Linked DNA regions of Drosophila melanogaster. Changing the gene in region 2 together with the main gene of any one other region gives a genetic interaction. Each region holds a gene or a part of one and is shown on either strand. Other genes may lie near its edges.

Region 1 (9,420 bases), on a different chromosome or scaffold from region 2:
ATAAACTATATAAATCTATTACAATATAAACCAAGAACATGATACATTTTAAAACTTCAGGACATTTTGGTTACGCATCCATTTACACGCATCTCGAATTGGTCATCGGGCAATACATATTTCCACATGACCATCGGAAATCTGGTTAGGGGCTCGAAATTGTTATGTGAAACGTCGCTGGGCTACAAGATGGACGATCTGCTGACTTCATATATCTCGTTGATGTTGACCAATATGAACAAAAATCGAACCATTCGAGCCAACTAGTAAAACCTACACATAACGCAAAATATTTATAATAATTATAAATTACAATTGCAATAACTTATAAAAGCCTAGTACTTTATAGATTTAAATCATACTTAATACCCACCTCCCTTTATTCCAATTGCATTCCCTTCCCAGAGAATTCATTCCAATTTTGGTCTTGTTCAGCTATCGATTATACCAAACCAACTTGCAACTTTTGTTTTTAGTATTTGTATTTGTATAAATTTTTGCAATTACACGTTTAGGTATTCTTATGGCACATTCCGGTTAAATTATTAAATACAATGTTTTTGTATGAAGAAAAGGTCTTACATATTTTTAGATAAGCATTTGTATCTACACATATTGCATCTATATCTTTGTATATCCTAACTGCATATCTGTACTGATGACGTTTTGTATCAAATACATAGAAATGTTCAATTATTTAATAAATTATATACAAATTATGTGGTCTTTTTAATAGAATCGGATGGAAGGTAAGGTCATCTCATTGACCTGGATTAATGCAAATTTCATTTCGATCAACGGTTAGAAAATTATACTTCGGACACAAACAAACGTGCAAACACGTAGTTAAATGTCTTAAGTTCATTTCGTTTAGAAACAAACAAACGAACTTTGGACACTTAATAACACTTAACTTGAACAAATGCTTGTGACAAGTCTTGAAAATGGGTTCGTATAGAACAAACCAATCTATTTTAGACAAAAAATGCTGTGTAAGCACAAGTGTTAATAGTTCATTAAAGTCATTAATAAATAAAATAATTAGTCTTATATAAATATCTTTGTTAAGTAACAACAATGGAACTAAACAAGTTGAAGTAACGGTTACGACCGACCCCTATAAACTTTGAAAATCCGATCGATTTTGCCATCGATTTACCAATCTTGACCTACGGCTTTGGATTTACCGCGCATGGAAGGGAGTACGTGTCCAAAGTCTTGTGAATACAAATTTTTATAGGACTGGATTATATAGTTTCCCTTGATTTTCTTGCCTGACTCCCACGCCACCGATTTCCCACGCATTGTATTTTGCGAGAATTTCCATTTTTCCCCAGCGTGTGAAAAACGGCAGCAGTCGGCACGGCAAGCTAAAGACTAAAGACGACGGCAGGTAGACTTAGATTTTTCAAGATAATGAACTTTTTTAGTAGACGGTATGAGGTTGTGTAGCAGTCCTGAGAACTTTTAGAAATTGCTGTCTCCCCCTTTCTAAAAACGACCACAATCATCGCACTCGCCTATCCAAACAGTGGTGGAGAAAGAGGGCCTGGGGAAATGTGAAGGAATTGTTCATTAAAAATTCCAAACTAATTTCATATTCAGCTTCTTATAAGACGGCGACGACCTTAAGAGGTTGCAGTTCCAATTGCCAGAGCCAGAACTTTTGGTGGTGGTTTTTCCATCATAATGAACACAGGCGGCCGCCAGTAGTTTGATTCCTCACGCAACCAAAGTTCGTTGTTTAAGTCTTTCGTTCCCATCGCCCGGTGCAGTAAAATCTTAGGGGTTGCAGCCAAGTTCCTATTGGCTGACTCTGATAAGAAATATGTCTCCCAAGTGCAAGATGAGATTAAATGCTTGGCCAGCGCTCACCTTCTGATTCCGTCGAGCGGAAGTGAGCGATAATTAATTCAAAACTGCGAATCTTAATTTGTAAATCTGTAAAGACAGCAGCAGCAACGAATGCATAAATATTCAACAAAGGCAGTAAAAATTCTCACAGCAGCTCGGCAGCGGCTTTTTGGGCTGTGAGAATATTCTGCTCCTTAACTTGGCCAAAACGGAAACAATAGTGTTATATATCTATGTATATTTGCTTCTTAGCTTCGCGTTCAGCAATTCCAGACCAAACTATAATTAAAGTCGGCCCGTCCGAGGGGGTTGAGGCAAACCATCGTGGGAAGAGCTGCACTTGTTTTGTTTAAAAATATTCACACGATACTGGGTAATATTCCCACAGCAATTTAAGGCAACCAATCCTCCCCAGCGCTCCACCTTAGGCCACAGGAAAAATGGTGAACCAGAAGAATCACGCTAAACCAAAAACATAAGCTGACATGATTTGATTATTCTTTGTCATCATTTGGGATTTCTTTTTTTTATTTATGTTAGGCATTTCGCTTACACTTAAATAAATCGCTGTTTTGTCTTGTTGCGATTTTATTTTACAAAATATTTTATTGGGATTTTTAATGCTACGAATTTCCAAAGTTAATAAAAAAATGCAACAAAACTGTATGTACAGAAACAAATTTTTCCCTTTTTGACTTTGTCTTCGACTTTTTAGAAAGCTAAAGAGGGAAATGGAATGTTTTTGTAGCGTGGCTACTGGCTTGTGTATAATAAAAATTTCCGATGCATTTCGCAGTATTTTTTTTTTTCATTTAGATCTTTGGAAATTCATAGCAAAGAAAATCATAAATATTTCAACCGCATCTAAAAATCGTCTATAAACTTACATCAATTGTATATTTAACTAGAATTACATGTTTTGTGTAAAGGTATATTCATGCACATACAAATGTATGTATGTATGTCAGTGAGCTTTTCGAGTTATGTACAGAGTTTTATGTGTCATTTACAATTCTATTGGTTCCGAACTAGCACTAGATACATGTGTAAAGTATGATTCACTTTAGAGAGAAGGGGACACATTTTGGTTTACGTCACGAGGGGTTGAAAATTAGTATGAGAAAAATTGTCAATCTACAAACTAAGGTCTTCGATAAAAACTATAAATAACTTAGGATACATATGTGTGCGATGCAATAATCCTGCACTCAGGATAAGCCGCTACCATGACTATTCCATTGCACTTCTGAGATGGAGGGCAGAGCCTGATGCTGCTGCTGTTGTTGTTGCAAGCCACCGCCGGCTGCCGGCGATCCCGCATTGTTGCTGTTATTATTGTTGCTAATGCTAGTGATGTTATTATTGTTATTGTTCTGTCGCGCTCGCATCACATCCTCGGCCTGTGTATTGCAGTGCGGCCGAGGACCTGGTTCAGGTGTATACGTGAAGGTCAGACCGGTGGCATAAATTATTCCATCGTTGCGCACCAGCGAAATGGGCACCTGCGTGGGCTGACGTACCTGCAAGGACCATTAAAAGTAAAATTTATAGCGCGTATTAAACAGATTTACATTGGAAAACCTACCCAAAGCCATTCGCCTCGAAATTGTGAAATCTCCGGCACCACGCATAGCAATGTCTCTGTGCAGCGGTACATGGTTTCCGCCTCCACATCGCCAAACCACACCTGCAGATGCGGCGTAAAGTTGTCGCCACTCAGCTCTAGCATGGCCACATCCCCGCCGCCATTGAGATTAAGGGAATTAACGATTGGCACTGGAGTGACTGGAGAACTGGAAGAAAACACGAAATGAAAACTAATCCATTGAGTTGTAAGTAAGCTATACTTACGCCACAGGACCCATGCCCTCGTAGAACTGGTACTCAGCCTTGTCGGTGGATATGATGGTCCAGCAGGCGCCGTCATTGATCATCTCCTTGTTCGGCTCCTTGGGGCACGGCGTGGCCTGGAACTGTATGATTTTCTCCTGCGACAAACAGAGATACATCCGATCCGTATCCTTCATGTAGAAGGCGCATTTGTGCAGCTGAGAAACGGGATCGTCGGCTTCCAGCAGGGCCATCTGCTTGTCTACCTTCCGGATGATCAGACGTGGCAGGGCCATGCCCGTTACGGAGCACACCAGTTTGACTGTGGCTCCGTAATGAATGTAACCATCGCGCACCTGAAACTCCTCCGACTCGGACTCATTGTCATCCAGCAGGTGTATCGTAAAAGCTCCCCATTGTGTTGACGACGCATGAAAGTGTCCGTTCTCCACGTGAAGGTAACGGGTGGAGACAGTCTGGGAACGCAGGCGATTGAACAGGGCTACATTGGTGCCGCTGGCTATGCACAGATCGGCATTCTTTAGCGACTGTTTCTTTTTGGACGGCTTGGATATAACCTTGATCCGTTTCGAGTTAAAAACGCCAATGTCATGACCGTTTCCGTAAAACATCTTCACCGACAGCATAAAGTGTTTTCGCTTGTCCGAGTCCGAGATGAAGAGCGTCTTGGCCGCACAGTACTGCTTGCCATTGAGATCCAGCTGCTGCATATCCTGGTCACTGCTCCCGATACCGATGAACGCGCATAGTTGTGCTCCCTGTTCGCCCTCGCCCTGCTGCAACATCTCCTCGTACCGCCGGCGCCAGCCACTTCCGAACAGATAAATGCACGGCGGTGGGCAAAAGAATCGCTTCTCATTGCCATAGGACTTTTGGGCCACCTGGAATTCACACAGACAGACAGACAGAGGCGCACGATGGTGCAGGGAAAATTCAATTAGTACAAATTGCCGTCCAGATTATCGGAAAATCATATCAAAACCGCAAGCAATGCAGCTTTGTTAATTTTCTGTAATTAATTTCAATTATTTTCATTGCGGACTGGACCGCGCTCGCGTTGCTCAATTTGCGGGCAGTCGAGTGTGAAGGATTCCCATTTGGCGGCAGTCGTCGCTTGAAGATCGCCACCGCTAAAAGCAACCGCGACAATTTTATTCCATTTTCATGTCTGCGTTCGCCAAAAACCGCAAAAATGTAACACTTTAAAGTGGACAATGGAAACACTAGCACCTTTAAATAGTGGGTGTGGTTTTGGCGTTGCGGACTGACCGATTAGATTAAAACTAAATTATAAAAAAAAAATAAATATCTTGTAAAGCATACAAGTAATTTTCAAAGAAAGGATACATCGTTAAACTTGAAATAGAAAGAAAATCTGAATTTAATCTATTTAATCTAAAAAATCGAATAATTTAGGAAATCGACGTACAAAACTGACCAAGTTTCTAATTTAAATGAAAGTTAGGATATCCTACGTTTCTCCAGTTTGGGTTAATATATTTTTAGTAATATTGAAATAATGTATTTCAAGCTTCAAATAATTTAATTAAGACTTAAGACTCAGGAGTTCCCTTGTATGTTTTAGAATATCTTGAATACTAAATCCAGACCAAGCACCTGATAATACCGGCTTAAAAGTGGAAATCCTTTCGTACCTTGGCGTGCAGGATAACGATGACCATGTCGTTGCGCTCGCGCATGTACTTCTCCATGGCGTCCCGCGTGAGCTTCTTCTCCTCGATGTGTGGCCGGTAAGGACCCGGCAGCAAGGACATCTGCATTTGTTGTTGATGCTGCTGTTGTTGTTGTTGTTGTTGCTGCTGCTGCTGCTGTTGGTGGTGCACTTGCAATTGTTGTTGCTGCTGCTGCGACGACGGCGGCTGCGGACCGGGCAGTCCAAAGTGCGGCATATCCTGGCTCTGTTGTTGCTGCTGCTGGTGAGGATCGAGGGGTGAGCCGTTGGGATTTACAACCGTAGTTTCGTAGGCAATGGCGGGCGGGGCGGCGGCGTTTAAATTAAATTGGCTGTAGCTCTTCATTTATGCACATGTCTCCTTGCATTGAACTTATTGGAATTTTGTTTGGATCTTTTCTATTATTTCGTTTTTGGCTATTTGGCAAATTCGTTTGGCACTTTATACACTGTTCGCTGGTGCTGTTTTTGTTGTTGTTGTTGCTGCTGTATGTTTTCTATTTTGTTATCCTGCTGCACAAACACACACGCAGAGCAGCTGTCGTTTCTCTCACGCACTCTCTTCCTCTTAACCGCGGATTGGCTTTGTTGTTGTAGCTCAAGCTGGATTTGCGGCTAGCTGCGATTCACGACTAATCACACATATTTCAGCGTTTCGAGCAGATCTTGACTAGCGACTAGCGGTAGTGGCGGCTGGCTTCTGTTTAAGGCTGCAACTAGCGCTCGAGTTATATTTATAATATGCTACAACTAAAAAAGCGACTGAGGATGTTGATGTTGTATCGATAGTCCGATAGGCGCTTATTTATGATAGTCGCTGCCTACCGGCGATATGTTTGTCGCTTCACAGCACTGTTGGTTGGATTTGGATGGCAGTGGGCATTTGGTTATTTTATAGCCAATTTGGAGTAGCTAATATATTTTGTTTTAACTTTGCAGTTTCTGAATACATTTGTATATTTATTCCCATCACATCACTGTTAAAGATATTATTTCTTATATCTATAAATACTTTTAACTGATGCGAAAGGTATCGATTTTCATTGAACACTTCGATTTTGAGCGCCCACATTTAAAATTCAAGGTACAAACTACCAACCTTCTTGTCTAACTGTCCATGCATTTTTAAAACGGGCCGTGGGAAAGTACACATGGGTGAATTTAAAAGATAATTCGCGACTTTAGGCTTAAATGTAACCGTTTAAATAGGTTTAGTGGCAGAAACACACAATATGCAACTAAAAGCTGTTAATTATGTATCAGAATGTAAGCTGTAACTCATTAAAAAACGAATCTGGTGGAGTACACTTAGTTATTCATATATTTTAGCAGTCACAGTGTAAAGTGGAAAAATCTACAATCACTGAATATCATTTGCAATCCGATAGGCAGGTACAATCGATATCACCGCTCGATTTTCGGTGCATTGCCATATCTAACTTGTGAAATCAAAAATCGGTTCCGTTCGGTGCTTGAACTTTTGAGATATTCTAGAAACACATCCACAATGGAGAACTTTAAGGGTCTACAAAAATCCCTATACATATGGACGGACAGCGCCGACTTGGACAAGCGCGTGGAGCAACTAAAGGCGGCCACTGGCGGCGATGTGGCTTTGGAAAATGTGCACCGCCTTTCGTTTTGTAAGTTGCGTGCGGTGCGGTGTGTGTGTGCTGTTTTTGACTAGCCAGTGAGTCAGCAGATTAAAATCAGTGATGTTTATGCATTACAGCTTCCTATGCCAACTCCAGTTTCGACCTGATTGTGATCGAGTGCGCCCAGCTGACCGACAGTTACGTAAAACTGCTGCACATGCTGAAACCGAGTGGCAAACTGCATTTGGTGTCCTACATCGGTCCGGCGGCTAGTTTGCTGCAGGAGATCAAGCTATCCGGATTCATAAACTGTCGCGAGGACTCTCCAGATGCTTTGACCGCCGAGAAGCCTGGCTACGAGACAGGATCCTCAGCCAGGTTGTCATTCGCAAAGAAGAACGCCAGTGCAGTCAATGTGTGGAAGATAAGCGGTGACGATGAGGAACTGATCGATGAGGAGGAGCTGCTGGACGAGGAAGACAAACAGAAGCCGGATCCGGCTGGTCTGCGTGTCTGTAGCACCACGGGCAAGCGCAAGGCGTGCAAAAACTGCTCCTGCGGGCTGGCCGAGGAATTGGAGACTGAAAAACAGAGCCAGAAGGCCACCGAGAATGCCAAGTCAAGCTGTGGAAATGTGAGTTCTCTTAACCCCGATGTGAGTTAGCATTAACCTCGATTATAACTGATTTCTTATATGCACAGTGTTATCTCGGCGACGCCTTCCGCTGCTCCACTTGCCCCTATTTGGGCATGCCCGCCTTTAAGCCCGGTGAGAAGGTGCAACTGGCCGACAACCTCCTGAAATCCGACATTTAACTTAGGCTCACCATGGTATACCCAATCAATCACATTTCAAATAGTTTATTAAGCTGACTTACTAACAAACAATAATGTCATAATGTAAATACAAAAATGCACCGCGTCATAAACACAGCATGTAGATTTAAATATCCAAGTGATCACATTTCGCATGGTGTACCCTTGATGAGATCGCGGTTCTGGCCCATCAAAATACGATAGTTGACGGCCGAGGGATCGAGTTCCTTGTACAAATATGTCGGCATCTTGTCGGACAGCACCCAAATAGTGCCTTCATTGTCGATTTTCATGTCATTTGGAAAGACCAGAGTGTGCGAATCGGAATCGATTAGCCCCTGGGTGTCCGGAGTGTATGGACGCTTGATGTTCCAACAAGCAATGGCGTCTTTGTTCACCTGCGTATAGAAGATGACGCCGGTCTCGGGGTCAAAGACCTCGGCGGTGGACTGGCCATTCATGCCACGGTCACCAACGTATTTAAAATCGTAATACGAATCGCCAGCGGTCACGTGTGATTCGTTTTGCAGCACGCGGTTCGAAACCTTGAACTCCTTGGTACTGGCCAGGGCATGGAAATAAATGTCCTTGGAGTGATCTGGATTCATTGGGCCCACGGCCAGCCCAAAAACGCCATCCGTCCACTGGAAGTTCACGCCGCCCACATTGAAATCACCATGCAGAGGATCGAAGTGGAAGAAGTTGTGCTTGACGCGGTAGGATTTGTCGTTCCTCAGGGAGTACACAATCACACCGTAGGCACCCAAATCCGGAATGTAAGCAAAGGCATCTTGGCACTCCGAGCGGTCCGCATCCACAACCTAAATATTGATTAATTCGATCAGTTTGGAATTTAAATAATACGCCTATGCATACTCACAATATTCGCAAAGAACGAGTCCTCTTTGGTCTGATCAGCGGGAATGGTGAAACGGCGCAGTAAAGTATCTGTTTTCAAGTCGAAAACCAGGATTGAATTGGGCGTAATCTGCTTGGGACTGCCCAGGATGTCGGCCAAGCCAGTATCGAGCACCCACAGGCGATCGCATACGTCGACTTGAATTCGGAAGGTGGAAATGACAGTGGAGTTGTCCTTCAGCTGGATGCCGGCATCTTGAGCCTTGTCCGCGTCCAGACGTCCACCGGATGGTGTCTTTTGGTCCTGTGGCTGCACATCGATGGGCAGCTTGTTGGCCTCCCAACTGGGATACGGATGCAGCTTTGGCGACTTCTCCGTCGAATTAATGTCGATGTAGTTGAGTGTGGCAGCAACACCAGCCTTCCATCTAAAGGGAAAGTAGATCATTTAATAATGAGGAGAAATAAATTAACTAAAAAATTTACATTTCAGACTTGTTTAGTTACTAATTACATTTAAACCTGACACTGGCAAGTAACAAATTAATAACATTAAAAAGTACCATTCACCTGCGCAATTATTATGACTGATTGGATATAGTCTAATATAAGCTATAGTTTTAATTTATATCTTAGCACTATCAGTTAAAACTTTGACGGCAACTATAGCTTAAATAATTATGCTGTATTATCAACAAAATATACTTTTTTTACGTATCTTATTTTTCGAAATGTTTTTAAATCGAATTTTGT
Region 2 (7,683 bases):
CTGTTGGGTTTTTAACACAATTTAGCGGCGTCTCAGTCGGCTAAGGGATATATCCATACATACATAGATATATGTATGGGCTGTGCTGGCGAGGGCGAGTAGATCGGATCAGAATGCTATAACGGCTTTGTCTACGGTTGCACAGACCCTGTTGCTCGAACATTCAACACCAGCGGATAGCTCTGTGCAACAAGTGCACGGCCAACGCATTAGAATCTCATTTACTTACTCAATTACTTTCATTTGAATCAAACCTAGATAAGCAAAAAACCAAGCAATCCTTATCGGTCAGTTTATGTCATAATCATATAGATTGCCCAACTGCAAGGTGCCTTCTCTTGGCCATAAAGCTCTACAAATATAACAGCTCTATTTGCTAGCTTTATAATCACAACCAACAGTAAACCTCTTGTCGAATCGGAAATGGAGTCGTTATTGGAATGGAAATTGGCAAATCATTTAATGATGGCTAAATGCGGAAGGTGAATTTAAATGTGATAAGATAATGATTATATGAACTCTTAAATGTTCAGTAGTGGTATTGGGCATTCTATTATTGTAAGTCATTTACCCTTCTAAATCTTTTGTTCATTAAGTCACTTAGTGGGAATTAAATTAGAATTGTTTTTCTTTAGTTTGTTTTCCCAACTCGGCTCCATCTTACATTACCGGCCTCCCCTGTGACGACAAATAGGAATTGAATGTTTGCGCCTGCGCGCATTTCGAAATTGCTTTTGGAAAATTTTCATGTTTTCATGTTTGTTATTGTTGTGGGCTTGGCTCGCTGCCCTTGTTGTTCTTGTTGCCATTGTTTGTATATATATATATGTGTTTGTGTTTTGATGATACAATGACGCTGCGCTTGGCAGCTGTTGTCTGTCGTCAGCCAGGTTCTAAAAGGGAGTGAGGGGATCTGGATCCCTGGATTCTGCAGCTTGTCCAACGTTTGCTTCCAGCACTTCCTTCCGTACTAGACAATGGAGTCTCTCTCTCTCACTTTTGCAGCTTTTCAAATATATGCTTAGCAAACTCAAGACAATCTACCTGCTCGAACTCTGAACTCTGAACGCTGATCGCTGAGCAGCGGCGACAGGTGTCGAGCTTTATTTCCGCTTCCGGGCGCTTTTCGCGTATGAACTGCAATAGTTGGCCCAATCGATAAGAACACTATCATTTGGTAGCGTTTTTTTTTTGCGCTCTTATCAGCTGGTTTGTTTCGATAAGTAGGGTAAGTACCTGTTTTGCTCATTCAGAAACTGGCAATGACGTAGACCAAGTTGGCCCAGCTCCGTCACAAGTGGCCGACTTTGAACCCTTCTTTGCTTCTGGCTTTTCTTACAATTGTCGCACTTGTCACCACACCACTGCCGCCCCACCTAAGCTCCCCTTTTATGCTTTTTCTCTTTTATTTTTTTTTTCTTCTGTCAGCTTCTTTTATTGTTATGCGCAGTGCGTAGAACAAGTGGAAGCTTTGTTTGACAATAACAACAACAGCGAGTGAAACATCAGCAGCTGGGGCAAGTAAGAAACAAAAAAAAAAAAAAAAACGTTAAGTTTACACGACTTCCAAGCGCTGGACGGAATCACCTGCCGCATTTTGTTTTTTCTGTAGTCGCTGTTGTGGGCTTGACATTTGACAATAAAGCAAATAATCATGGGAAAAAAGCTGAGCCCCCAGAAGAACGACAACTCGCCGCCGCAGTCATCATAAGAAAATATCAAAAACGGGAGGAAATCCGGAACCGTAGTCAAAACAAACGAAAGCGTTGAGTTAAGAGCTGTTGGATGAAAGCAAAACTAAATTAAGATTGACGAGTTATGTAAGGGTCTCATATTGTGATCGATCGATTAGCAATAAATAGAAAAAATTATGTCTCTTGCTCACAATTTTGTTAACAAATTGCTCATTGCTTTTAGGCAAATTGTTAAAAAGTTACAGCTCTGTAATGATAACTAAGATTAGTTATGAATCCAAACTTTCTTGAACTAGATAAGATCGCCGACAGTACATTTAACTTATTCAAATGCAGCATAAGCGCACATCATTCATTCAATTACTTGGAATGACTCATTGAGCTAGGACTTGAACTTTTTGCGTATGAGCAATAATTTTTAAAGACCCTCAGACTGGAACTCATTTATAGCAGCCTATCAGAAGCTCGACGATTATGAGTAACTTATTGGAAATCGGAGCAAAAGCCAATGACAACTGTCCTCTTATCTATTTTTATCTATTGGATTGATAATATTGTCGTTAGACACCTATTTAATCGTCAACGGGTTCGATTTCCCTCCTAGTTCGGTTTTCATTTTAACGAGTAACGACGATATTTTTTTAATACGTTGTTTTTCTAGCATATATCGTATCGACTTATTACGGTAAGAAATTATCCTTGCAGCAGAGGAATAGAGGGATTTTTCGAGAGAGCGAGAGAGTAAATCGGATTTACAAAATATATTTTAATACCCTAAATTTGAAAAAAAAAGGACATTATAGACTTAAAGAATTTTAGAGCAATCTCTAAAGAAATTAGCATATTGTGAAGCATACTTTTAGAGACGAATAAGTAAAGGTCTCGTGCCCTCCTTGATGTTCCATATTAAATATCCCAATTGTTAACCACAAATCGCCTTTAAGTAATTGATATAAAGTAATGAATTGGATCACCCGAAATTGTTGAGAGAAAACTGCAGGGTTGAGAAAATGCTGGCGTTGCTGTGAGAAGAAAACGTTGGAGAAAACACTCAACGTTTGAGCGAAATGAGCGTGCCGAAGATATTCGAACACGGCCGAACGCAGTCGAACAAATTCCGACCAGTGAGATACGTTTGAGTCGTGAGATACGTTTGAGTTGTATCCGTGAGATACGTTGTGAATGCTACAACTCTGCTCTGCATCGGTGAGATACGTTTGAGTCGTTTTCGCGGCGTCAAATCGAGCAGACCTGTGCCGCTCCGTAGAGCGAGTTCGTCCAAATAAAAAAAGAATTATACGAAATTCCGCCTGTGTTAGGAGCAGAGAAAAGAATAATTTTAAACCAACATACACAATCAGTTAGTTTCCACCGACAGTCCGCAGAAACCATTCGACGGCAACGGAACGGGCGCGCGATTGTCGGCAATCCGTAAGATAGCCAAATATTATTATTGTTCAGATACTCACTGAGGGCGTTGATAAAAGATCAGCCAGACAACTGCAGATCCGAGTGGAGTGTTTTGAAATCAGTGAAATTCTGTGTGAAAAATCGTTGATTTATTAATATTCAAGAATAAAAGTTCCCAGCGAATTTCATCAGCTGGAGTAACCGAAGTGACCCACCAAGCAAATCGAACAACACAAATCGATCGAACGTGTAAAAGGACTTTCGGTTTCATTAAGCGTGTGCAATTGCTGATTTTCCCCGGCAAAGCGGACTTTTTGCGGAATGAATGAAATAAAAAAAAAACAGCAGTGGCAACTATAATAATAAAAACAACAACAGTGCAACAACAGCCGGGGCATCTTCATAGATTTTGGCTCTCCTGAAGCAACAACTTCTGCCTGCACTTGGTATATGTACTTATCACATAGACATATATATACGCACAGATATATAAAACAAAAACGATCGCTTCTCGTGCCAGCGCGTGTGATTGTGTGCGTTCCCATGTTGCATATATATATGCACAAAAAATATATATATTTATCTAGAGCCGACTGTTGCGACGACTTTTCTATATAATCGGCTAGTGAGCACGCAGACATCGAAAAGGTGCACAAATACATCAGCAGATGCGGGTATATATGTATTGCACATATATCTAGCCAAAGCCAAAGTAGAAGATATATATGCGTATAAGCTGAACGCGGCGCACTCTGCTCTGTTTTTTCTTTTATAATTACTTTTGTCTAAAATTAGAAGACGTGTGTGTTGTGTGTGCCCCGTCCGTGTATCCGTATCCGTGAGATACGCGAGAGTGTCCGCGTCTGCTATATCGCACATCATCATCGCCGTACACCATCCGCCGTCCAATATCCACCATCATCATCATCATCATCGCCATCCCCATCATCATCGTCGTCGTCGTCATCAGAGATCAGAGATCTGCAGCGGTGTGTGTGCCAGAAAAGACGACTCGTGAATCAGACTACGGCTACGACTACGGGTGCGACTACGGCTATATAGGCGAGAGATCGCGTATACGGCCAGACAAACATTATCGTATATCTGGCGCCGAGGATTACAATTACAAGAGCAGCAAACGCAACAGCAGCAGCAGGAGCGGCAGCCGAAGTTAAAGCCGAATACGAGTACGAATACGAGTACGAATATCCGAGCCCCACAAACGAATACGAATACAAATACGAATCCGAACCCGAATCGAGGCGATACGAAACGATCGCGCGCGTGAAAAGCCTCGTGAAGAAAAGCGCTACGAAAAAAGTGGGGGAAAAATCAAACGCCACGCGACCTTAGGCCCGTCCAATTTTGGGGGGGGGCGTGCAGCGGGGCGTGGCCGTGCGTCGACTCCTAGCGATCGCTCAAGTGAAACGCGGCGAAATTCTGTTCAGATAACAAAAATGAGTCACCAAAATAAGCAGCAACAGCAACAGCAGCAGCAGCAACATCAAAAGCAACAGCAACAATCGAGTGCGGCAAAGTGTTCATAAATTAATGCTAGGCATACAGTGTGTTAGACCAGTCCGAAATACACTATCCCCCTCTCTCTCGCTCTCGAACAGTCCGTCTCTCTCTTGCCCCTGCTGTCGCTCAAAATGCTACGAAACTATCGAAAGTATTTGCAGGATAAACGGAAATACGACAAGCCACAACGACGAGGCAGCGAATTTTACATTTGTCACGTTTAGGCAAATTGCAAGGACAAAGGACACACCAACCCCCCAGCAGCAGCAGCAGCAGCAGCAGCAGCAGCAGCAGCAGCATCACGCAGCAATACGCAGCAGCAGCAGCAAAGCGCAGCAGCAACACTCGCTATCGAGATTTTGTACATAAAGTCGGGGCAATAGCAGCAACAACTTTGGAGGACGCCATGTATGCGCAACATTTGCGCAAATGGAGTCTAAAAACAAAAAAGCAACTAATGCCATTGATATTGCTAATTATCAGCTACATGTTGCTACTAAACACATGTGTGTTGTCGTCGTCGGCGACGACGCAGCAGCAACAACAACAGCAGCAGCAGCAGCAGCATCTTCCAAGATTATGGGAAGGCAGTGCCGAAGAAAGCAGCTACTATATACCACTGAGTTCGGATAATGGCAGCGGGAGCAGTGAAAGCTCCGCCGAGAGCGGTAGCAGCAGCAGTAGAAGCAGCAGCAACAACATCGACAACAATATCTTAAGTAGGCTGCTCAGCCTCAACAGCAATAGTCTTAGTAGCCGTAGCAATGTTAAGTTAAAGCCAGCAACAGTATTCGACGCCGGCAGCAGTACACCCGCTCAGCAGGAGCAACATGTGGCTGCCGTGCCAGAGCAGCAGCAGCAGCAACAGCAGCAGCAGCAGTCAATGCAAAAAGTTCCAAATACGTTAATCAATAGTCAAATATATAATTTATTATACAATGGCATGCCCAGCGAGGCGGCGAGCAGCAAAATGCGTCGCCACATTCAACCATCACAGCTGCCACATCAGCCAGAGAGCAGAGCGCAATTACCGAGCAACTACAGCAGTCGGCCGGCGGTGCGGAGCTATCTAATCGAGTCCTACGAGATGCCAGAGAGCATGTTAGAGGATCGCAGTCCGGAGCAGGCGGCGCGAAGTCGTCGGGATGGCAGCAACACCAACGGCAGCCGGCAGCAACAGCGCACCGGCCACCGGCAACAGTTGCAGCAGGACAAGCGCGATCACCGCCGCCAGCGGCAGGATCAGCAGAAGGAGCAGCGCCAGCAGCAGCAGCAGCGTCAGCACAAGAGCGGCAACAAGCACCAGCAGCAGCAGCAGCAGCGCAGGAAGCACCAGCGGAAGCACCAGCGATACAACCGCTATTGCTCCGCCCGAGATCCCGCCCAGTTGGCCTTTGCGGCACCCACCGTTTTCCAGGGTGTCTTCAAGTCGATGTCCGCCGATCGGCGGGTGAACTTCTCGGCCACCATGAAGGTGGAGAAGGTGTACAAGCAGCAGCACGATCTTCAACTGCCCACGCTGGTGCGATTGCAGTTCGCGCTGAGCAACTCCAGCGGCGAGTGCGACATCTACAGGGAGCGACTGATGCCGCGGGGCATGCTCCGCTCCGGGAACGATCTGCAGCAGGCGTCGGATATATCCTACATGATGTTCGTGCAGCAGACGAATCCAGGCAACTTCACCATCCTCGGCCAGCCCATGAGGGTCACACATTTAGTGGTGGAAGCGGTCGAAACGGCTGTGAGCGAAAATTATAGTGAGTGGATTTCGATTTTAAACCTAAAGTGGGTGGGCCTAGAATAAGTTTTTCAAAAGCAAGTTTTTGGTTTGATAAGAAAAGTTAGCCACCGATCATTGAACCCCCAACGAGTAGAGTAGCAAATCTTGGAAATATTGCCTTCAACTAAAAGACATGACATGGAAATCTCCCGAAAATTGCTCCCTTTCTCTCGCCACCTTTCTTTCGGCTTCCTCCCATTACATTTCTTTCTTGCCGTCTCTTTTGCGCCATGGCAGCTGCCTCTTTCTACTCTCCACGTTGCTGGTTGTTGTTTAATGAAATTTAGCTGCTTTTTGCAGCTGAATTTCTTATTTGCCAACTTCACGCTCTGCTAATATTCACCAGACCGAAATAATTTTATGCAATACACTCACACCACTGCTACACACACACACACACACACATGCAGGGAAACGTTGCGCATGCGCCTGTGCGATTGCAGTTTTTGTTGTTGTTGTTTTTTTTTTTTTTTTTGCAAGTCTAGGCTCTGGTCTTCTTCGGATTCTTCTACTGGATTCTTTTCTTTGTGCCCGACTCAATTTGGTTGCTGTGCAACAAAAATGCTCACATCTAGAATTTATTATTGCCGCTGCCTCGGCTGTTGCTAGTTGCACATTTTAATTAAATTCGCATTAACTTTGCTCGCTGCTCCCGGCTTCTTCTCCCTATCCCCCTTACTCCCTTACTCCCTTCCTGCCTCCTGAAAAGTGGGAAAAACTTTGAAAACTCATTTCTGTCCGCCCGTCTTTTTAGCTCCAATGTGCAACTCACAACGTCATCGTCATTGTGGTGGTTTGTTGTTCTTGTTCTTGCTGTTGTTGTTGTTGTCTGCATTCGACCTTTGCGGTTGGCAGACCCAACCCAACCCTACGTTCTTCTCCCACTGCTGTTGTTGTAATTATTCTTGCGTCGCGGTTCATGGAGTTTTGCGTCTGTAATGCGACTAAGTGCGATCACCCGGCCCCGCCCCTCGCCGCCTCCCCCGCCTTTGCCTTGCCTTTCCCTTCACACCCTCGAAGGGGGTATTTCAATTTTGGCTAGCAACAAAGGTAGAAATATGTTTTTCGAATCTTTTTAGGTATTATATATACATATGTATATGAGAGACCTTCAATGTCGATATAATTTCACATTATATAGAAATTTTGAATTACTATATCATTGTTCTTGAACCCTTGGCAGGGCATATAAACTTCGACTACCTTGAGCTAACTTCCTTTCCTTTTATTTATTTATGTTTGTTGCTGTTGTCTTTATTGTCTTCTCCCTCTCGGATT
Region 3 (5,920 bases), on a different chromosome or scaffold from region 2:
TGTTACATATAATAATCGTGTAATATGAATGTTGTTTGTCGGCGGTAATAGGCCGATCAGTTGTGGTTAGAGCTTCTTAACTGATCGTACTTTACCGCCAGCTGAGCTGATCTTTCGTCTAGCGTTGATACACCTTGATACAGAAACAACATGTACTCGAAAACAGATCTTAAAATGCTATATAACACTACAGACTAACTATAAACTTGAACTATATAGAACCCACTAAGAGCAGCAGCAAGGTTGTAGGCAAATCCCACTTCCTTGCTGTTGGAATATCTTTAACTATCCTATATTACTGTCCGTAGAGTTGATCCTTCCTAGATGTTGACCGCGTAGTATAATCTTTGGTTAATATTCATGCGAATCGTTTTGCAGTTGGTGGAGCTGAAGCGGAATCCCCAGGGCGTGGTGGACAAACGCGTTAGGGCCACGTTGAGACCCATGTCCAAAAACGGACGCCGGGATTCCTCGGTGTGCGAACTGGAGCAACGATTGCGAGATGTAAAGAACACAAACTGCCGATTCCGAAAGGCGCTGATGGAGAAGGAGAACGAGCTGCAGGCCTTAATCCGCAAGCTGGGACCCGAGGCACGCAAATGGATCGATGGGGTGACCTGCACAGGTGGCTCCAACGTCGGTAGCGAACTGGAGCCCATACTGAACGATGACATTGTTAGGCTCTCAGCTCCACCGGTGCGTCGAGAGATGCCCAGCACCACAGGTGAGTGGCTAAGGAGGGGGATTTCGTAGATATGTTCATGCATTGCAACCCGTTTGTCATAGAAGTTACCGAGATGACGTCCGTGGATAGTGTGACCTCGACTCATGTGGAGATGGATAACTCCTTTGTGTCGGTGCAGTCTACAGTGATGGCGCCATCGCTTCCTCCGTAAGTTCTTAAATTTTGGTCTTAAATACACTCTAATCTATGGATATTCTCCAACAGCAAAAAGAAAAAGCAATCGATTGTAGAGCACCACTCGCATGCCCCTGCTCCAACTATGATGCAGCCCATCCAGCAGCAACTGCAGCAGCACTTACAGCAACATCAGCAGATGCAGCAGCAGCACCTGCAGCAGCAGCAACACCAGCAGATGCAACAGCAACAGCAGCAGCAGCAGCATCATCATCGCCATCTGGAGAAGAGAAACTCGGTGTCCGCTCAGACCGATGATAATATAGGCAGCATCACCAGTACGGCGGGCAAGCGGAGCGGAGGAGACTGCTCCAGCATGCGGGAGAGGCGTCAATCGACCGCCTCCAGGCACTACGACAGTGGCAGCCAGACGCCCACCGCCCGGCCAAAGTACAGCAGCTCGCACCGGAACTCCTCCACCAACATCTCCACATCGCAATCGGAGTTGAGCAACATGTGTCCACACTCAAAGCCCAGTACTCCGGCTGTGATTAAGAGTAAGTTTTCTGCGCGTCTCTTATAATACTATAATACTATCGATTTTCTAATCGAAAATAGCTCCCACTGCCTCCGACCATCGCCGCACCAGCATGGGCTCCGCTCTGAAGTCCAATTTCGTGGTTTCACAGAGTGACCTCTGGGACACGCACACGCTGTCGCACGCCAAGCAGCGCCAGTCGCCGCGGAACTACGCCAGTCCGCAGCGCTGTGCGGAACATCATGGCGGCCACGGGATGACCTATGACCCGAACACCACCTCGCCCATCCAGCGGTCCGTCTCCGAGAAGAACCGCAACAAACATCGGCCAAAACCGCAAAAGGGCACCGTTTGCCAGAGCGAGACGGACAGCGAACGGGAACGAGATCCGCCGCCCAACAGTCAGCCGTGCGTCCAGCCGCGTAAGGTCAGCCGGAGCTCTAACATCCAGCACGCCGCCCACCACCACAGTTCGCCCAATGTGGCGCCCGATAAGCAGCGGAGCAGGCAGCGCGGCAAGCAGGATAGCAGCATCTACGGCGCCAGCAGCGAGACGGAACTGCTCGAGGGCGAGACGGCAATTTTGCCCATCTTCCGGAAACTCCTCACCGAGAAGAGTCCCAACTATCGGGGCCGCAGTGCCGTGGGCCAGAGCTGTCCGAATATATCCATCAAATGCGATATCGTCGAGTACTTGTAGGCGGCGCGAGTCATATGCATTATGCCGTAGTTAAACTCCTATTGTTAGATCCAGTTGCAGTGTAAAGATTATCTTTGTTTTCTTTGGAGTTACGCATCTACATACATACCCTGTGAAGCAGGACACACACCATTTAGTGAACTAGTAGCAATGACATGAGATAGTTGGGAAATAAATTACAATTTAAAATAATCATATATCTGCTGATGTTTCCCTTTCACTGGCATGAGCTTTCAGAGGCACATTTTTCACTGTGTACAAGCAGAAACGGCAACTCTAATTTATTTTAATGAGCAAATGGGCATGGGTATGAGTGCTAAACTGATGGGGGAATCTATTGCAGAGCAATGCGCCGGAAGTGATTGTTGAGTGGACCCTCGTCCGAATAGCCGGCAATTTCCTGTGGTATGATGCCAGACTCCTCAATGGAAGTGCATGGCCGACACATGCACTCCAATGGCGCCTTGGTCAGGACCTTCTTGAATTTACGCTCGCCGGGCTTCACTTTGGGACAGAATAGCGAGACGGCTGCCTCCCGCTCACCAGACTCCTGGCAGCACATGCAGGAACGCTCCATTTGCCAGATCTTACTGCCCGAAACCTAAAGTCATCAGATTATATCAAATTATAATTTATATTTCAAGTATATCAACACCCACCTGGATATAACTGGCACAGCGACCCACGCAGGCGAACGAGGGAATCGGCTTGGGCACACATCCAGGATACTGGAGCACATGGATGACGGGCGTCACCTGACAATCGTCGCCAAGATGCGTAATATCTGGATGGTAAATGGAATCCATTAGAGCGAATAATATGATATTATCAAATGCCTTATCAAATACCATTATCCGTGGCGGCCACAGAGCTATCCGGCTGTGCCGTGCAGAGTTTCAGAATGCTGACCAGGACGCAGTAGAGCAGGATCAGGACGAAGACCTTGTTGTTCTCGTGGCGGAGCAGGTGGCGCAGCATCTCGTCGGCCCGACTGCGAGTGTCCTTTCACGTGGAATGGAAAACGCCACTTGCAGCCGCCGGGCTTTTATAGACCAACTTGGCCAGCGGATGCCGCTCTAATGGCCGCTCGACAGCGTAAATTATGGCCTAATAAAGCAAGGGCCGTCCAAACCTTTTTGCCTAGTAATTGCGTACACGAAAAGGGCATTTCTCCCGCGGCGCACGACCACGGCAATCTCTTTATTTCCCTCACAACTTATTGGCTAATCAGGGCCAGGCCAACATGCTGCCCACTGCTAAAAGCAGAACCACCACCAAGGAAGTGGCTCCCAGGCAGGAGCTACCATTTCTGTCCGCCAGATATTTTACTAAGCCTTCCAAATGGGTTTCCGCCCAGTTAAGGTTTTTTTCCACAGTGACCAGGGACTTGGAGAGCAGCTCTTCCGATTCACCGAAGAACTGGTGATTGCTGTAGTAGAATTCCTTGAGCAACTGCTGTTGCTCCCGGGTGGTGAAGTACTCCGCCATGTCATTGATCACCTCGGCCGTGTCCCGACCAACTCTGGAAGCTGAAAAGCGACAAGGTTAAGTGTTCAATAAACAATCAAACCACACTCTCAGATGATCAAATTATGAAAAATAACTCACTTATACGCTAATTCCATAATGTTTTCGGTAATCATTTCGAAAATTGCCTGAACCAAGTCAGGATTCTCCTCGTACATACGGGCGATACCAATTTTCTTTTGTTCAACACTTTCCGTACCAGAGATGATCATCTTGTGGTAATGGGTTTCGTAGTCTCTCGTGCAGCTGATTGCAGCCCAGAGCATATTCTTTTCGCTAGTGCGATTTTCCAAATAATACTGACCCCACAACATGGTGTATGAGTTGTAATCGGCACCACTGGCGGCACAATAGAACGTTTCCCGGTAATCCGGCGATGGTACTTCATGACCTGTTACGAACTGAACGTTAACCTTTGGCCTGCAATTGCTGGCCTGGTATCTGCACAGCCATTTGATCAGTTTGTTGCGATTGGCCACATCCAGCGGAGTGTAGTATATACGAACATAATAACAATAATAATAACAATAATAATAATAATATTAATAATAATTATAATATGAATCATAATAATAAGTCGACTAATAAGTAAACTTAGGACCACCCTAATTCCTTAGGGTCACCCTAGTAGATCTTTAGATACACCCTAATACTAAATATGCGAATTCAGCATGTACGCCTTTAGGGGTCGCACTCGACTCCCATTGGTTATCGAGTATGAACTACATACTTACATATTGCAGAATTTGCTAGTGTCAGCACTTGGCTGTCACAAGAGATCTGCCTGTAGACCACACTAAGATCAGTTATAAATCAGGAATAGATCTGGAATGTACGCTCGCTTAATAAAAACCAAATAAAGATAAAATGACCAACTGCGTTTTGAGACTTTATTAACTACATCAGAAGTATTGGAATTCTAATTAACTACATGGCGACCGTGACAAAGGATCGTTATAAGTTGTAGCAGAAGCTAAAGGAAACCGCTTGTGATAATTTTCAACTTCGATGCTCATCCACCAAGACGGCGGCAATTATGAAGAAAAAAGCGATCTGAGTGAGTAGAGTGTCAGTGTGATGGGAAAAAACAGGGGCGGAGTTCGACATAATATAAAAAAGAGAATAGCGCACATAAAGTGGCTATTATATACGAACACTCCACCACCCCAATGGTCGAAAGCTCAAAAACTACAAGCTGAGCTAGACCACTGTGTCGAATATCTCAAGAAAAAAATCCCCACCACACGCGCTCACTCAGAAAATCAAATAAAATCGTTAACAATTAACAAAACTCCAACTCCCAATCCGAAAAGCCTGCCTGTTTTCAAGAAAAGATGCCCGAACGACTGCGAGGGACCACTGTTCACACCGCATTGTGAACATACGTGCAGACATTGCAGCTCCACCACATAACCCCTAAATGAGGAAATCATCATCAACGTGGTGAGCAGCCCGCTCATTACGTCATCGAGGGAGTGTCAGCGTGCCAACCCCGGCGACGTCCAGCTGACGCAAGGAGGGTCAGAGTGAAGCAAATAGGAGCTGAAAAATAAAATATTTTTTTTTGTTGCCCTGCGTGGCACACCACCCTCGATGCACTGCGCTGCATATTAATATTACACAAAATATTGTAACATTGAGCGGAACTTTTTCTGCCCGATGAGAAGAATGGCCCGTAAAGCCATACACCAACTAGGTAGGAAAATGTAACTATATTGAACAAAAAAAAAAAAAAATCAAAACAACATATTTTTAAAGTAAAATAAACCAAAACCCAAAAATAAAACAAAAAAAAATAAAAATATACAAAAATGGGTTGGTTTGGATCTGACGATAGTCAGACAAAAGATAATACGGCCAATGTGGTCAATAACTTAAAAATAGTCGACCATACAGATGACATTCAGTCACTGTGGTTACTCCTTTTGATCATGACGATCGTAACAGTCGCTCAGTTTATATTAACGCTATATGTTAAGCATAACAAGATAATAAAGAGGCGTTATATAGGCAAAGCAGAGAATAGTTTGGATAAAATTTAAAAAAAAAAAAAAAAAAACATCCAAAATGTATTTTGAATTAAGATGATCTAAAATTTTTATTTTTAATATCAGAAAACTAGAATGAAAAAAAAAAAAAGATTATTGAAGAAACCTATTTGAGAGAGGCCAAAATTTATAAAGTTCGATTGCATAGATAAATCCATAGTATTCTTTAAATGGACTGGCAAGAAATACAAAACGAGCTTAAAGAAATTAAAACAACTTTTGACAAGTCTTATAAATGCATGACACCA

Evidence for each region. Genes that interact genetically often act in the same process or in processes that back each other up.
Region 1: of vn (region 2) and Su(H), changing one suppresses a phenotype caused by changing the other (phenotypic suppression), as found in Drosophila melanogaster (one study listed by BioGRID).
Region 3: of vn (region 2) and Burs, changing one suppresses a phenotype caused by changing the other (phenotypic suppression), as found in Drosophila melanogaster (one study listed by BioGRID).

Annotation. Positions count from the first base shown.
Region 1 is NT_033779.5:15,036,261-15,045,680, reverse strand, and holds Su(H) (suppressor of hairless), read right to left. Parts: upstream 6,194-9,420; 5' UTR 5,745-6,193; coding exon 5,361-5,744; intron 4,587-5,360; coding exon 3,706-4,586; intron 3,648-3,705; coding exon 3,440-3,647; intron 3,375-3,439; coding exon 3,063-3,374; 3' UTR 2,347-3,062; downstream 1-2,346. Other genes in the region: ck (crinkled), read left to right, coding at 61-267; CIAPIN1 (cytokine induced apoptosis inhibitor 1), read left to right, coding at 6,906-7,041, 7,131-7,627, 7,696-7,809; yellow-c, read right to left, coding at 7,953-8,630, 8,690-9,095. UniProt on the Drosophila melanogaster protein: Transcriptional regulator that plays a central role in Notch signaling, a signaling pathway involved in cell-cell communication that regulates a broad spectrum of cell-fate determinations.
Region 2 is NT_037436.4:5,840,907-5,848,589, reverse strand, and holds the start of vn (vein), read left to right. Parts: upstream 1-2,925; 5' UTR 2,926-5,031; coding exon 5,032-6,382; intron 6,383-7,683. UniProt on the Drosophila melanogaster protein: Ligand for the EGF receptor. Seems to play a role in the global proliferation of wing disc cells and the larval patterning. Shows a strong synergistic genetic interaction with spi, suggesting a molecular interdependence.
Region 3 is NT_033777.3:21,766,706-21,772,625, reverse strand, and holds Burs (bursicon), read right to left. Parts: upstream 3,109-5,920; 5' UTR 3,076-3,108; coding exon 2,946-3,075; intron 2,882-2,945; coding exon 2,757-2,881; intron 2,699-2,756; coding exon 2,432-2,698; 3' UTR 2,347-2,431; downstream 1-2,346. Other genes in the region: GABA-B-R2 (metabotropic GABA-B receptor subtype 2), read left to right, coding at 379-724, 790-892, 950-1,416, 1,478-2,097. UniProt on the Drosophila melanogaster protein: Final heterodimeric neurohormone released at the end of the molting cycle, involved in the sclerotization (tanning) of the insect cuticle, melanization and wing spreading. Heterodimer specifically activates the G protein-coupled receptor rk.